Linked DNA regions of Drosophila melanogaster. The protein of the gene in region 1 purifies or fractionates together with the protein of each later gene. This does not show direct contact. Each region holds a gene or a part of one and is shown in the gene's direction. Other genes may lie near its edges.

Region 1 (4,827 bases):
TAAATCCTATTTGTTTTCTGTCACACAGGTCGGTATTTTAAACATTAGTTGTAACCATTATGAAAAACTACGCTACTTCAGCGGGAAAGCGGCTATACATATGTAAATATACGAGTATATCCAGATTTTACCCTGTCTAAATCCCTCAAGTTAAACAGAAATTTCCCTTGGCGAGGAAAAAATCGGACTGACAACACCTTCAATTTCACGTTTAGATATTACGTTCTGCGACGTAAAATTGAGTAAAGCACTCTTATTTGCGGAGTGTTTGTCTTTTAGCTCCTAATATTTCAGTTAACAGAATATTGGCGTTCAAAAATAACATGTGGAAGCAGTTTTGAAAATCGCTGGGGCTATCAAGGCAGACCAAAAATTTTTATTTTTCGGACTAATTTTACATAACTTTTTCTTAGAAACTCCCTGTTCACGAAAGGAAAGAAAACAATATAGCAGCACTATCCTCAAGAATCTAGGATTCTACAGGTACGCACATGATTAAAGCTTGGAAGGGATTAGTCATTTTTGAGCCCGATAAGGCGGAGTTCCGACTACAAGGGCATTGTGATATATTTTAAAATAAGTCAAAATATACACAAATACGAATACGAATTAAAAGCATTGACAGGGTGTATTGTACATTTGCGCACATACATCTATAAGTGTATGTATCAATTTATTTTTACTTATACTATTCTTTATACTCTAGTCTGTGCTGTCCCGACAATTTGGATTCGGATTTACGGATACGAAATACAGTCCCGATACCAAAATAAAAGATAAAAGACTAGTCGCTACTCTTCTCGTTTTTTCACATCCATATATACACATCTATGTACATATCTGCTTTACATATGTATTTCTGTGGGTTCACAGAGATGCTGTTTCTGTTTTCGCTTTCCAAAGTGGATGTGGCAGATGGCAGCGAGAGGAACGGAGAATGACCATAAACGAGGAGAGAACTGAGAGACGACCAACAAAAATAAGTTTGCGTGTATTTGTATTTATGTAGAAAATGTGTGAGTATATAGGTGGTCATATACTCACGTTTCGCTCGACGGTTTAGGCACAGGATAAGTACGGGGGAAATCGCGAACACAGTACGTAACAGTTACATTTCCATCGAAGTAGCAATTGAAGCACTGCTCCTTAACTAGCGTTCGCAGTATGATGCACATTTTGCATAATTTCAATTTCGAATGTACATGCAGACATATGTATGTGCACACATGTCGTGTATGAATACACACACACCCGAAGAACAGTAGTATGCCGCAGAATTTATTAATTTGCCTCACAGCACCGTTGCACGTTTAGTCGTTAATTTAAATTCGCGATGTATCGGAATCAAAACAGAATTCTGGATGAGATTTATTATAATTTTCCACTTTCTGCTGCTCATGCACGACGAACCACAAACAGCAACCAACACCAATAACGCCGCAAATAGAAAGACTAGGAAAAAGGAGCTTTGCTGACTTATTTGCAGTTTATCGGAGCTTTTTCGGTCAGACGACGCGTTGGATGGGTTACGTTGTCTTTCGTTACGTGCTCGCAACGGAGCTCCGAGAAATTCCCTAACGCGTTCTGCCGGATTCTACACGTACATAGATCGAGCGTTCCTTTTGGATGGCTAGTCAAATCAAATCAAACTAGGCCATTTTACTCAATCTACACATAAACATTGACTGTACAACATGCTCAAGCTTTCGCTGTGACTCAAAAACACTCCAAAACTCGGATTTGCATCAGTCTTCCTACAAAGGCGTTAAGGTATTTCAGCTCTTTTGGGCTCCATTCCCCTCCGTTCTGAACCTACGAATTTTCAGTTTTATCCGACGAACAAATAAAATAAGGGAGTGTCGATGTCATTTGTAAGGGGCAGTGCGTGTGTGTGTAGATGTTGTACGTTTTTTATAATTTTTTTCTTCCTGGACTTAAGTTTAAGAACTTAAGTGCTAGAGTAAAAATACCCAGTGTTGCAGTAGGAAACAGTATAAAGCTCCTCCATTTATTTGCAGTTGGCTCTAGCACTCCTTTCATGAGCACTTACATATATTTTTAAGTGTGCATTGCTAATATGTGTACTTTTGGAAGCTCCATTTAAAAAGTTCCCACCTTTCGTATTTGGTGCACATTTTCCCAATTTATTACATAAACTGTTTTATGACAATGTTGAATTCAAGTTTGAGTTCCCGTATTCGCTCGTATTAGATGAATATGTATACAAAAATCAGCTTGCTAAGTTCAAATTGTGTGTGTAAAATGGTTTTACCCGTAGTGGCATACATACATACATACATATGTACACATGCAAAAACCTTGAAACTGTTTTCTTGGGTAGTCGAATCAATTCAACGAATGCGATGGTGAACAGCTGATACATGTCAAACACGTACTCATGCAATGTAAACATCTAATTCCTGTACTTAACGGGATATTAGTTTGTTTATACAAATTTATGAATTCCTGGACTGGTAGTTCACTCAATTGACAGGGAATTACACATAATTTATTGCCAGATAAATATAATGCCTTGGAAAAATTATTTATTTATGTATGTACAAGAACGTTATAAGCAGTTTGGAAAAAAGTAGACATGTTCAAAGTGTATGTATGTGCATATATGTGTGTACATATATATATAAATATGTACATAATATATATATTTATATATGCATTTACATTTATATGTACGTTACGTCCTATGACTTTACTTATGTACATATGTCTATACGGATTCTTCTTATTGTTTAAATTAATACCGTTTGGTAAAAAGAAATTTCAAACTAAAAGTGAATAAAATCTTTTCAAAATAAGTAAAGAAAAATTACATCAATATACATTTTAATGCTAAAGGTCATTGAACATTTTACAAGCTTTATGAATTTTAATAAATTTTAATGTAAAAAGTAAAAATTAATTCATGCCATCCTGAACAAGAATATATACATACATATTTACATGTATATTTGTAACTCTTTAGATAGATCTTGGCGTCACAGCATGATTAAACAAAAACAACTAACGAGGTATTAACTTCTGACGATTGAACAAAAACGAATATACAAAAATTCTGATTTGTACTTTTATAACGAAAAATTATTTTATATTCAACTAGGAAACTATAATATCTGAAGTATACTCGACACCATTTATCAATATATTTCGCTGGCCTTTCATGCAAGTGTTCCGAGAAAGCACGTAGAATATTAAAAAAAATATATTATGCTGTGATCGTTTTGGGAACGCGGCTTACAATTTTAAAATAGTATAGTATTTTCACTTTCACCGCTTCTCTTCCGAACGATATACACATGTAATGGTCTTGGATGCAAGCCCTTAAGTTTTTGCATCTGCATATGCATTTCATCATGTACATACATATATAGTTGTCGCCTTTGGACACTATCTTGCTGCGCAACGTCACTACGAGGACTTTCGTCCACTGTGATATGTTTTGGCAGGATATATGTATGTATATTAACATACAATATGGTAGGTACTATAGGTAAGATTGTTAGGTCGGTATATTTTTATTCTATGTAGCCAAAATTAGATCCTACGAAATTTACTCATATGATTTAGGTATTAAAGGAAGTTAGTAAACAAAAACGAATTTACAGAAAAAAAAACAAACACAGCTGCTGTGCTGCTACTCTACGATATTAATCATAATTATCTATATTATATTTAAAGCAGGGGAATGTTGTACACCGGACAAAAAGAATGGTTATACTATTAACTATATGCTGTCGTGTTGAGGCACAAGAGTAGTGTAACATTAAAAGTGTGTCGCTGAAAAGGAAGGAAGCGTAACTATCTACCAAGCTTCGAGATTTTATAAATAGGTGGTCTCGTAATGTCCGATTTGGGAAGTGGAGATGATGGCATCTCAGGATCAAGTAAGTGAGCCGCATATTAATAAATATATAACAACTTCCATATTTTAGAATATAATGTTGCAAATATGGAGGGTTCCTCAAGTAGGAACGACTTCGATTCTTCTGCTAAAGGTAAAAATGCCACATGTATAATTTATACTATCTGAACACGTCACATTCTTTCGCGTCAGGAGGAAGCGGCGTCGAACAGGAATTGGCTACGAAAATGTTGCAAATACAATCTAAACGATTTTATTTGGATGTAAAACAAAATAGAAGAGGCCGTTTTATAAAGGTTGCTGAGGTAAATCATCTGATTAGAATTTTGTTATCACTTCTATTTTATAAAGAAAAGCTTTTGTTTGATTTGTATAACAGCACCTTTTGATAAAATTCACAACCATGGAACGTTATGTATAACAGCTTTAAAAATTTCAGATTGGCGCTGATGGTAGACGAAGTCAAATTTACTTGGCTCTTTCAACTGCAGCCGAATTTCGTGACCATTTATCCTCATTTAGCGATTACTACGCTTCTCTAGGTATATACAGTCCCATTGTAAAATGTTTATTTTTATCAATATTATTTTAAATACGAAAACTTTACAGCTCAAAGAAGCTGGGTTCGGAAAAAATATAATTTTTGAAATTTGAAAGCTGGAATCGTTTGCCCATTTTTTGCCCAATTAGTTTTTTTTGCCCACGTCCAGTTTTTGAGATAAGAATTTTCGAAAAAGTTCGAAAATGTTCGAAAATCAAACATTTCGCTTTTTTCAATTTTTTTTTTTAATTGCAACAACATCGTTTGCCCACCCTTTAGAATTTTGAAAAAATGTATACTTTAGAAAATATAAGGCTTTAAAGTTTACCTCGGTCTAATCAGAGAGTAAATCGTTTGCCCATCTCTTAAAACCAAATATAATCAACAAAAAACGTTTGCCCAACCA
Region 2 (7,791 bases), on another chromosome or scaffold:
TGCACTTGTTTCATTGGCTGCAGCAAATGGCATTGGTCATGCGAGATGCCCTTGTCATGGAGCGAGCGGAACAGGCGATCATAATATGGAGCGTTGGAAACGGCGGACTGCAGCATGTTCTTGTCAAGTCCCACGGATTGAAGTTGAGCCCTGGTGGCTGGGTTTAGACCCCTAAGCTCCGCAAGACTGGCCACTGGAGCTGGGATGTTGGAGATAACCACCGAGGAGGGAGCACGTCCAGCACGCGCTTCCTGGAATGCATGTTTAAGCGGTTCCGCCTGAAGAATTTGCGCAAAGACAGGATCACGATCATAGTCCGTATTGGCAGGCAGTCCGCAGTCATAAACTATGGTGGAGACCCCACCAAACTTGACCCTTCGCATAGGCGTATCCTGGCGCATCTGTGCTCCCATTCTGATCTGCACTGGGTTTTTCAACGGCAATGGAGAATTGAATGGTGTACCAGGAGGTGATTTTATAGGTGTCATGGGCGGCTGAGGACAGATGGTGTTGATCTCGGCTCTGAATTGCGGATTGTTCACATACTCCTTGCGAAATTCAGCAATGGGACCAAGCTTTGGATCCCTCGAGATGTTAAGCTTCTTTTCCTGCAGTAAACAAATATGTTACAGATTTGTATTGGTCTTGCTAACGATTTTGCTAATTTAATTACCTGTAATATTCCCAGAACCTTGTCATAGACAATACCATGAGTCACAAGGCTAAGCAGAGCCGGTTTGCTAATCCCCAACAGCTTTTCTCTAGTTTGGGCTCGCAAAGCTCCGTTTTCCTCGAATTGGGCTGTTGATTCGCATAGAGGCTCTGAAAACGCAACCAGTAGTTTGGGATGGGCACTCGCAGGACTTGCCAAAGCCTGGGCCACCTTGGGATTGGCAAGCAGTTCGTTCAAAGTGTCATCCGCAACGGGCATGAGGCCCAATGATTGCCAGGTCTGTTGCGCCTCCTGGGTTGGCATCAAGGCAGGAGCTACGTGCTCCACTTGGGCGTGATTAAGACGATCTCCAAGGCGCACAACAACGCCCTGTCCGACGCATTGCTCTCGCAATTTCTGAACGTATTGCTGCAGCTGGATGGCCTCCGTTTCCGTCAATCCATCGCACAGTGCGGCATCCAGGTCGTGTGGCGGCACTTGCAACTCGAGTTGCATTTTCCGCTTGAGCGCGGCATCGCTTCCAGCCACAGGTATTTGGGCGGTGCCCAGTTTCTCCATATAATCTGTGACCACATCCGGAGCAGCATTTGGCGGCACCCACTCCAGCTGAACGGGCTGACTGGCCAGAGCTTTGATTTTGATATCTGCAACAGTATGTGTTATGTTTTCATTTCTAACCTTTATATGTTATAAATATGTTTCGCAATTACTTACACGCCGGTTTGGCCCTAATCTGGCCCAGAATCTCGAACTGCGCCCAGCCAGTGGCATCATCGTCGTCCGGACACACATGCTGAATCTTGGGGCACTTGCAGTTGCGGCAAACCTTGCGCCAGAAGTGCAAGTCCAGCCCCGGACATTTGTCCTTGCACTCGGCACAGGGGGCTCCAGCTCCGGCTTCGTGACCCAGCTTGGAGCGTTTCAGTTGCTCCCGACGACTCTCCAGCTTCGATAGCCATTCCGGCGCCTTGGGCGTCTCCACACAAGAGTTGGGGCTCACGGCGGACATTTCGGGGATTGGCTCAATGCTAATACATCTAATATAGATCCCACTTTTATAGATCCTTTGTGTTCGCTGGTTTGGCTCTCCTAGGAGCGGTGGCTTAGGCAAATATACTGAAATAGACCGAAGTATATCGAGGTGATATCGATATGCTGCACTCATCGATAGGTGGGTCTCTTATCAGCTAAATTCTTATTGGCATTGTTCTTATTGGGTTTTTGCTTTCAAATAAATTTTTAGTTAATAAAGAAATTCATATACAAGAAAATATTACACTTCATTCTCTTTGTAATAATAATGATACTGCTGTTTTGCATTCACTAGTTTTAATTTTATTGCAATCATTGAAGTTAAATTTTTGTAAATTTCATTTTTTATACGGTAAATAAATAATTCTGTAATAATTAATATAATGTAAGCAATAAAGAAAATAAACATAAATTAAAACTACTACCCTTTCATATCCCAAATAATTTCTGATTATTCAGTGCTTACTGTACTAACCGCCGAAGACAATGGCATTTTTGCGAATTGGGCTTTTTTGAGCTTTCGATCCGCGGTCACACTTCCACAATTGTTTTTTTCGCGAATTCAATTGCAGTTTTTTCGCAACCTTTTAAATTAAGAGCAATAATCGAAAGGGCCATTTAACAGCGGTAATTAACTTTTTAAACTAACGGCAAACTTGAAAAGGGTTTGTTTGTTGAGCAAGCACTGGAAAGTCCAGTTGCAGAAAAGCATCAGAAGCAACAGAAAGCGCTCGATGCAATTTGCAAATACAGAAAAAAAAATAGGTGAAAAACTGCGTCCCACTGAAAAGTGAAAGTGCAGCATGGGTCGCGGGACGCGTGCGGAGGGCACCAGTTGGACACCCAGCAGTTGCAGGGGAAAACTGTCTAAAATCAGGCGCTATTTTTGTTAATACTGAATCTTAAAGGATAATATCCTTTTTACCGGTTCTGCTAAACCAAAGCTCTTGTGTGCGGAACTACGGCAACAATTTGATTTTCCCATTCGCTCAATTTTGCACGGTGGTTGTTTTTGCCCAATGCCTGTGACTGTGTGTATGTGTGTGTGTGTGTGCGTGGGACTGTACGTGTGTGTGTGTGGCGCGGGAGTGTGTTGGTAAAAGCGTTGTTAGTGGTTCGCCGCCTAATTGATTACGATAAATAATTACATTTTCGCTAATAATAATATAATTGCATATTGAAATTCCTTGAAAACTCATCCACTGAAACTAGGATAGTTTACAAAAATTAAAAAGAGTGTTTTCTTAAAAAACCTAAGGACTTTAGTAATCTCGTAATACAGATAGAATACTATTGAAATCCTTGATTGATCGGGTATCTCCAAAATACGTATAGTTTCAAGAAATAGCAATCCTTTTTCTTACAGTATCCAAAAAAGCTTTATGTCCTTAAAGAATAATCTTATTACAAATTGAAAATTTTATAATATGTGTTTAGAAGATGTATGTATTTAGATGTAAGACATTATATCATTAGTTTCCTATAGACCGCAGCTCCTAGGGAAACGGTCGAAACAATCATGACCGAGAAGTACGACGGCAACGGTGACTTTTCCGCTTTCAACGACGATGACAACGATTTTGGCGGCAAGCCTCGCAAGCCTGGTGGATCTATTGGAGCACCAGGTGGCGCCCACAATGGCGACGCTTCCGCCCACGATCACGGCCATCATGGAGGAGATCCCGGCGGCAATGTCCAAATAAACGAGAAAGCCAATGAGTACATACGCGATTGTATGGCGGAAAGAAATCGAATGGACAGGAAGTTTCCCATTGCCGAGAAACTGCTGGAAGGCGGTAAGTAATTCTAATCATTTCTAAGCATTATCTTATTACTCTTGTCTTGTTTTAGAGATAGAAAAGGTCCAGACCACAGGAAGGATTCCTTCCAGAGAGCAAAAGTATGCCGATATCTATAGAGAGAAGCCGCTGCGGATCTCGCAACGTGTTTTAGTTCCCATTAGAGAACATCCCAAGGTGAATTTCACACTGATTAGCTTACCTAGTAATTGTAACCAATTCAAATTGAGTACAATTTTTATGACTGGCGCATTTCATGACCGCTAATCTTTTATTATTCAGTTCAACTTCGTTGGAAAACTGCTGGGGCCCAAGGGCAACTCCCTTCGCCGCCTTCAGGAGGAGACCCTTTGCAAGATGACCGTCCTGGGCCGCAACTCTATGCGCGATCGAGTCAAAGAAGAGGAATTGCGCAGCTCCAAGGATCCCAAGTACGCTCACCTCAACAGCGATCTGCATGTTGAGATATCGACAATAGCGCCGCCCGCAGAAGCCTACGCCCGAATCGCCTACGCCATGGCCGAGCTGAGAAAGTATTTGATCCCAGACAGTAACGACATTATCCGACAGGAGCAGCTGCGCGAGCTGATGGACAGCACTAGCCTCAATGACAACGATAATGCCAAGAGTGGCTATAAGAAGACGTCTCACATGCAGGGAGGCAACAATGTCTTGGGTGGCGGCTCAATCAACCCGATTGGAGGGGTCAAGAACACGCCGCATCACAGCTATAGGTGAATTATATTTTTCTAGATTTAGCGTCAAAAACGTACCTAACTTGTATCTTTCGTTAACCCTTTTTAGGAGCTCACAGCCGTCATCTTTTAGTAAAAATGTTCTGGCTCCGAAGCAGAAAGTGATGTCCATATTGGAAAAAGCCAGGACGGCCATGGACGAAACCTATGGGTATGTTACTTAGATATAGATATTATCAAGGATTCATACTTAACAAACACATTTTGCAGTCGGGGCTATGACGACGGACTTGGTTATGATCCCCACCAGTCGTACGATAGCTACTCCTATGGCACTCATGGACATGGACCCCATGGACCGCCAGCTAACATTCTGGGCGGAGTGGGCGGCATCAGCGGTGGCGGTGGTCGGGGTGGGCACTACGAAAGCTCCGACTACGAGCCGGATTATGGAAGACGAGAATACTATCAGCATTCACCCGGCTATTCTGGTGAGTTACGGAGTGGTTACCTCTACAGACAGTATGTTACTTTTCGAGTCATCTCTTCAGCTGGCGGCGGCGGAGGTGTAGGTCTGGGCACTGGCGGCGCTTCTCAATCAAATGCCATCGGCGGCTCTGGTCTCAGTTCCAATCACAATCGCAGCCATGTTAACAGGTGAAATTTGCTGGACCCTAGTAGTGCCAGCGGAGGTCGAGGTACAAACCCGGCGGCAACCACCCAAAATTTGACCATGAAATCCCAACCCAATAGCAGCAACAACTTTTTGCCAAATCACGGAGCAAGTGAGTGCCAAAATGGCAAGAACATAAATCCCAACTACTACTACAATTCCAACGGCAGTTCCAAGGTGAGTACCCAACTGATAAACAGACTGATCCATAAAAATAATCCCAACTATCTTTTAGGTAAATCAGCAACAACTCCAACAGTCGCAACCAAATCTCCCACCGCAGCTATCAGGCCACAACAACAACAGCAGCAATGGCAGCCGGGCCAGCAATATGATTAACACCAGTAGCCACAATAATTGCAATAGCAACTTTCACCCAGTCGGTGAGAAAAACTCCAACGACGTTTCATTTATATCCTCCTATCGACTTGGTCCAATGGATGGCCAAAAGAGTGCCAACAGCAACAATATCAACAATCACACATTAGGCAGTAAAAACCACAGCAACAACACCACCACAACCGCTTCAGTGCCCAATATGCTCTTAGTAAGGTATTGAAATGCGATATTATCGAACGCAGAAGAGAACTCCTTCGTCCTTGCACACAACCCACACTAAATCGATGTCTTTGGACAATGCAAATGAATACACGGGCTTTATGTGAATCCGCTTGCTTGCTTCTAACATACATATACCTCTCCGCTTATCCGTCAAAGTTCCCGTATTGATTTGCATTGATCCGAAAACGCAAAAAAAACCCTTTCGATTATACACCGCAAATCAAAGACAAGAACATCTCTCTAAATCCAAATTAACATTCTCTTACAGACCTGCTAATCCTTCGCTACATATTGGCACATTTCCGTTCTTGCCCGTGCAGTTTTTCTGAACCCAACAGATACAAGAACTACAAGCAGAACAAGCAAATCGAAAAATCACATCAACATGAACATCACAGAAACTTTGTACACTTGAGTTCATAAGATTAGAGGAAGGCGTAGGAGGAGTATTTACAAAATGGACAAAATGAACTTTACGATATATACCACATACAAAACATATACATAACAAATATATTTATACATATATTTTTGCGTGCAAGGATTAACGTTTAATGATGATGAGGCTGGATCAACAAATCGAAAACCATACTTTCGCGTTGGCTATAAAACACAGACGAAACTGTGTCCAGTTTTTTATCTCTATTTACAAACCATCTTAAAGATACTAAAGAGCCTGAATGATTAGTGGGAGCTGTATTCGGTCGGGAGTGATCAGTAGTTAAGCACACGGCTCAGCTCAAAGTTGAGCTGGGATAGTCTGGCGTACAGATGATACAGAGCGAATCCAGTTGATACAGCAAGACAAAGCTATGTATAGGGAAAGAAGGACCCGACTGACGGTCGGTAGAGACAGAATCTATGAGATTAATTAACTTAATAGAATATAATAATAAATACAGAGGGCACACTTAAACCATAATTTTATTTATATATGCATATATTTAACAAAACTAACGATACAGATAAAGAATATATATATATACACTTACAAATTCTAATATTTACATAATTAACAGAGATCGACTAACCCCATGTTGACACGAAAGGTAACAGAATAACCCTAACAAAAATTATCTAATACTCGAGCATTCAGAATTAATATATCGAATACTAAAGAACTACAAATAACTAACAAATTACAAAATATATACAAGTTTATTGTGAAACAATGTCCATAAGTGGATAGTGCTGCAAATGATTACTTTATTAAAACACCAGATACGAAAACAATAACAGAGTAAAAAAGAATACTTAAACGCAAGCGTAAGCGTATGAATAACAAATACTCCATTTACTTATACACGAATATAAAGTTCTAACTAAACCAACAATGTAACTCAATACAAAATTAACGTAATAACAATGTAATTCAATGTACTTAACACATTTAACCCATGACGCTGGATAAAGCAAAGTAATTAACCCAAAATTTCGTTTCCTCAATTGTTCAAAAATGAGTCGTCTGCTTTGTCCAGTTGTCTCCATTAATTATACACTGAACTAACAAAAGTAACAAAACTAAACATAACTCGTAATCGACAATTTGATCCGTTGCCAAAACTCAAAATTTCGTTTCCTGTTTTCTCACTTTAGTTAGTTTTTAGATTAATGAGAATTCTCTGTAGAGCTTAAGTAGAACCAAGAGAGTGTGCCAAATGTTTGTAGGAAGGGATTCGGAGGGAGTGGATGGCAATGGACGGATCCCTTCCCGGTCTGAAATTACCAATTGAAATGCCAATTTATAGATATTATCATTTTTAATATTTATGTAACCTAATTTGAGTATCGAGCGAATAAAGTTGGCATTGCTAACGCAATGAAATAAACATATACTCGAATTCGAATAAGAAGATGAATAAAACGATATCTTGTCCAAAAACCTTAAGAAACATTTACTTACATACAACCATGTGAAACGTTAAATTGTTAAAAACAATTAAAATCTAGTTTTAATGAAATATCAGTAATACAGATAATACAAAGGAATTACAACCATTTATTACAAATAATTATCGTTGTTACAAATTATACAGATAACTAATATGAAATTATAACAAATGCTACTTTAGGGCGATTCCCCAAGCCCCCAGATAATTTATGATACCAAGTTAATGAAATAACCGAACAACAAAAACACCCCGCCCTAACAACAATAAGAATATATACACTTATATGATATACATACCTACAAAATGAATTCAAAGAAATAATATATGGCGATTGAGTTATTCTCATTAATTATTATATGTAAAATTAAATAACACAAGTAATAACTAAATGAATAAATAAATATATTTAAAATGTATCGAAAATCGATGTAGTAGAGTGTTTTTTTATTCCCAGCTAGGATGGAAC

What was found.
Region 2: the proteins of Pur-alpha (region 1) and qkr54B purify together in Drosophila melanogaster (affinity purification with mass spectrometry, with the first as the bait; one large-scale study listed by BioGRID). This does not show direct contact.

The regions. Positions count from the first base shown.
Region 1 is NC_004353.4:556,399-561,225, forward strand, and holds the start of Pur-alpha (Purine-rich binding protein-alpha), read left to right. Parts: upstream 1-1,617; 5' UTR 1,618-1,770; intron 1,771-1,824; exon of another isoform or gene 1,825-1,902; intron 1,903-3,265; exon of another isoform or gene 3,266-3,495; intron 3,496-3,696; 5' UTR 3,697-3,859; coding exon 3,860-3,902; intron 3,903-3,950; coding exon 3,951-4,013; intron 4,014-4,072; coding exon 4,073-4,185; intron 4,186-4,319; coding exon 4,320-4,422; intron 4,423-4,827.
Region 2 is NT_033778.4:17,467,386-17,475,176, forward strand, and holds qkr54B (quaking related 54B), read left to right. Parts: upstream 1-2,238; 5' UTR 2,239-2,332; intron 2,333-2,360; exon of another isoform or gene 2,361-2,819; intron 2,820-3,181; exon of another isoform or gene 3,182-3,191; 5' UTR 3,192-3,224; coding exon 3,225-3,501; intron 3,502-3,556; coding exon 3,557-3,681; intron 3,682-3,786; coding exon 3,787-4,238; intron 4,239-4,308; coding exon 4,309-4,410; intron 4,411-4,469; coding exon 4,470-4,690; intron 4,691-4,750; coding exon 4,751-4,860; coding exon of another isoform or gene 4,861-5,049; intron 5,050-5,107; coding exon of another isoform or gene 5,108-5,424; intron 5,425-5,701; coding exon of another isoform or gene 5,702-5,762; 3' UTR 5,763-7,263; downstream 7,264-7,791. Other genes in the region: Tes (testin), read right to left, coding at 1-608, 674-1,317, 1,388-1,682.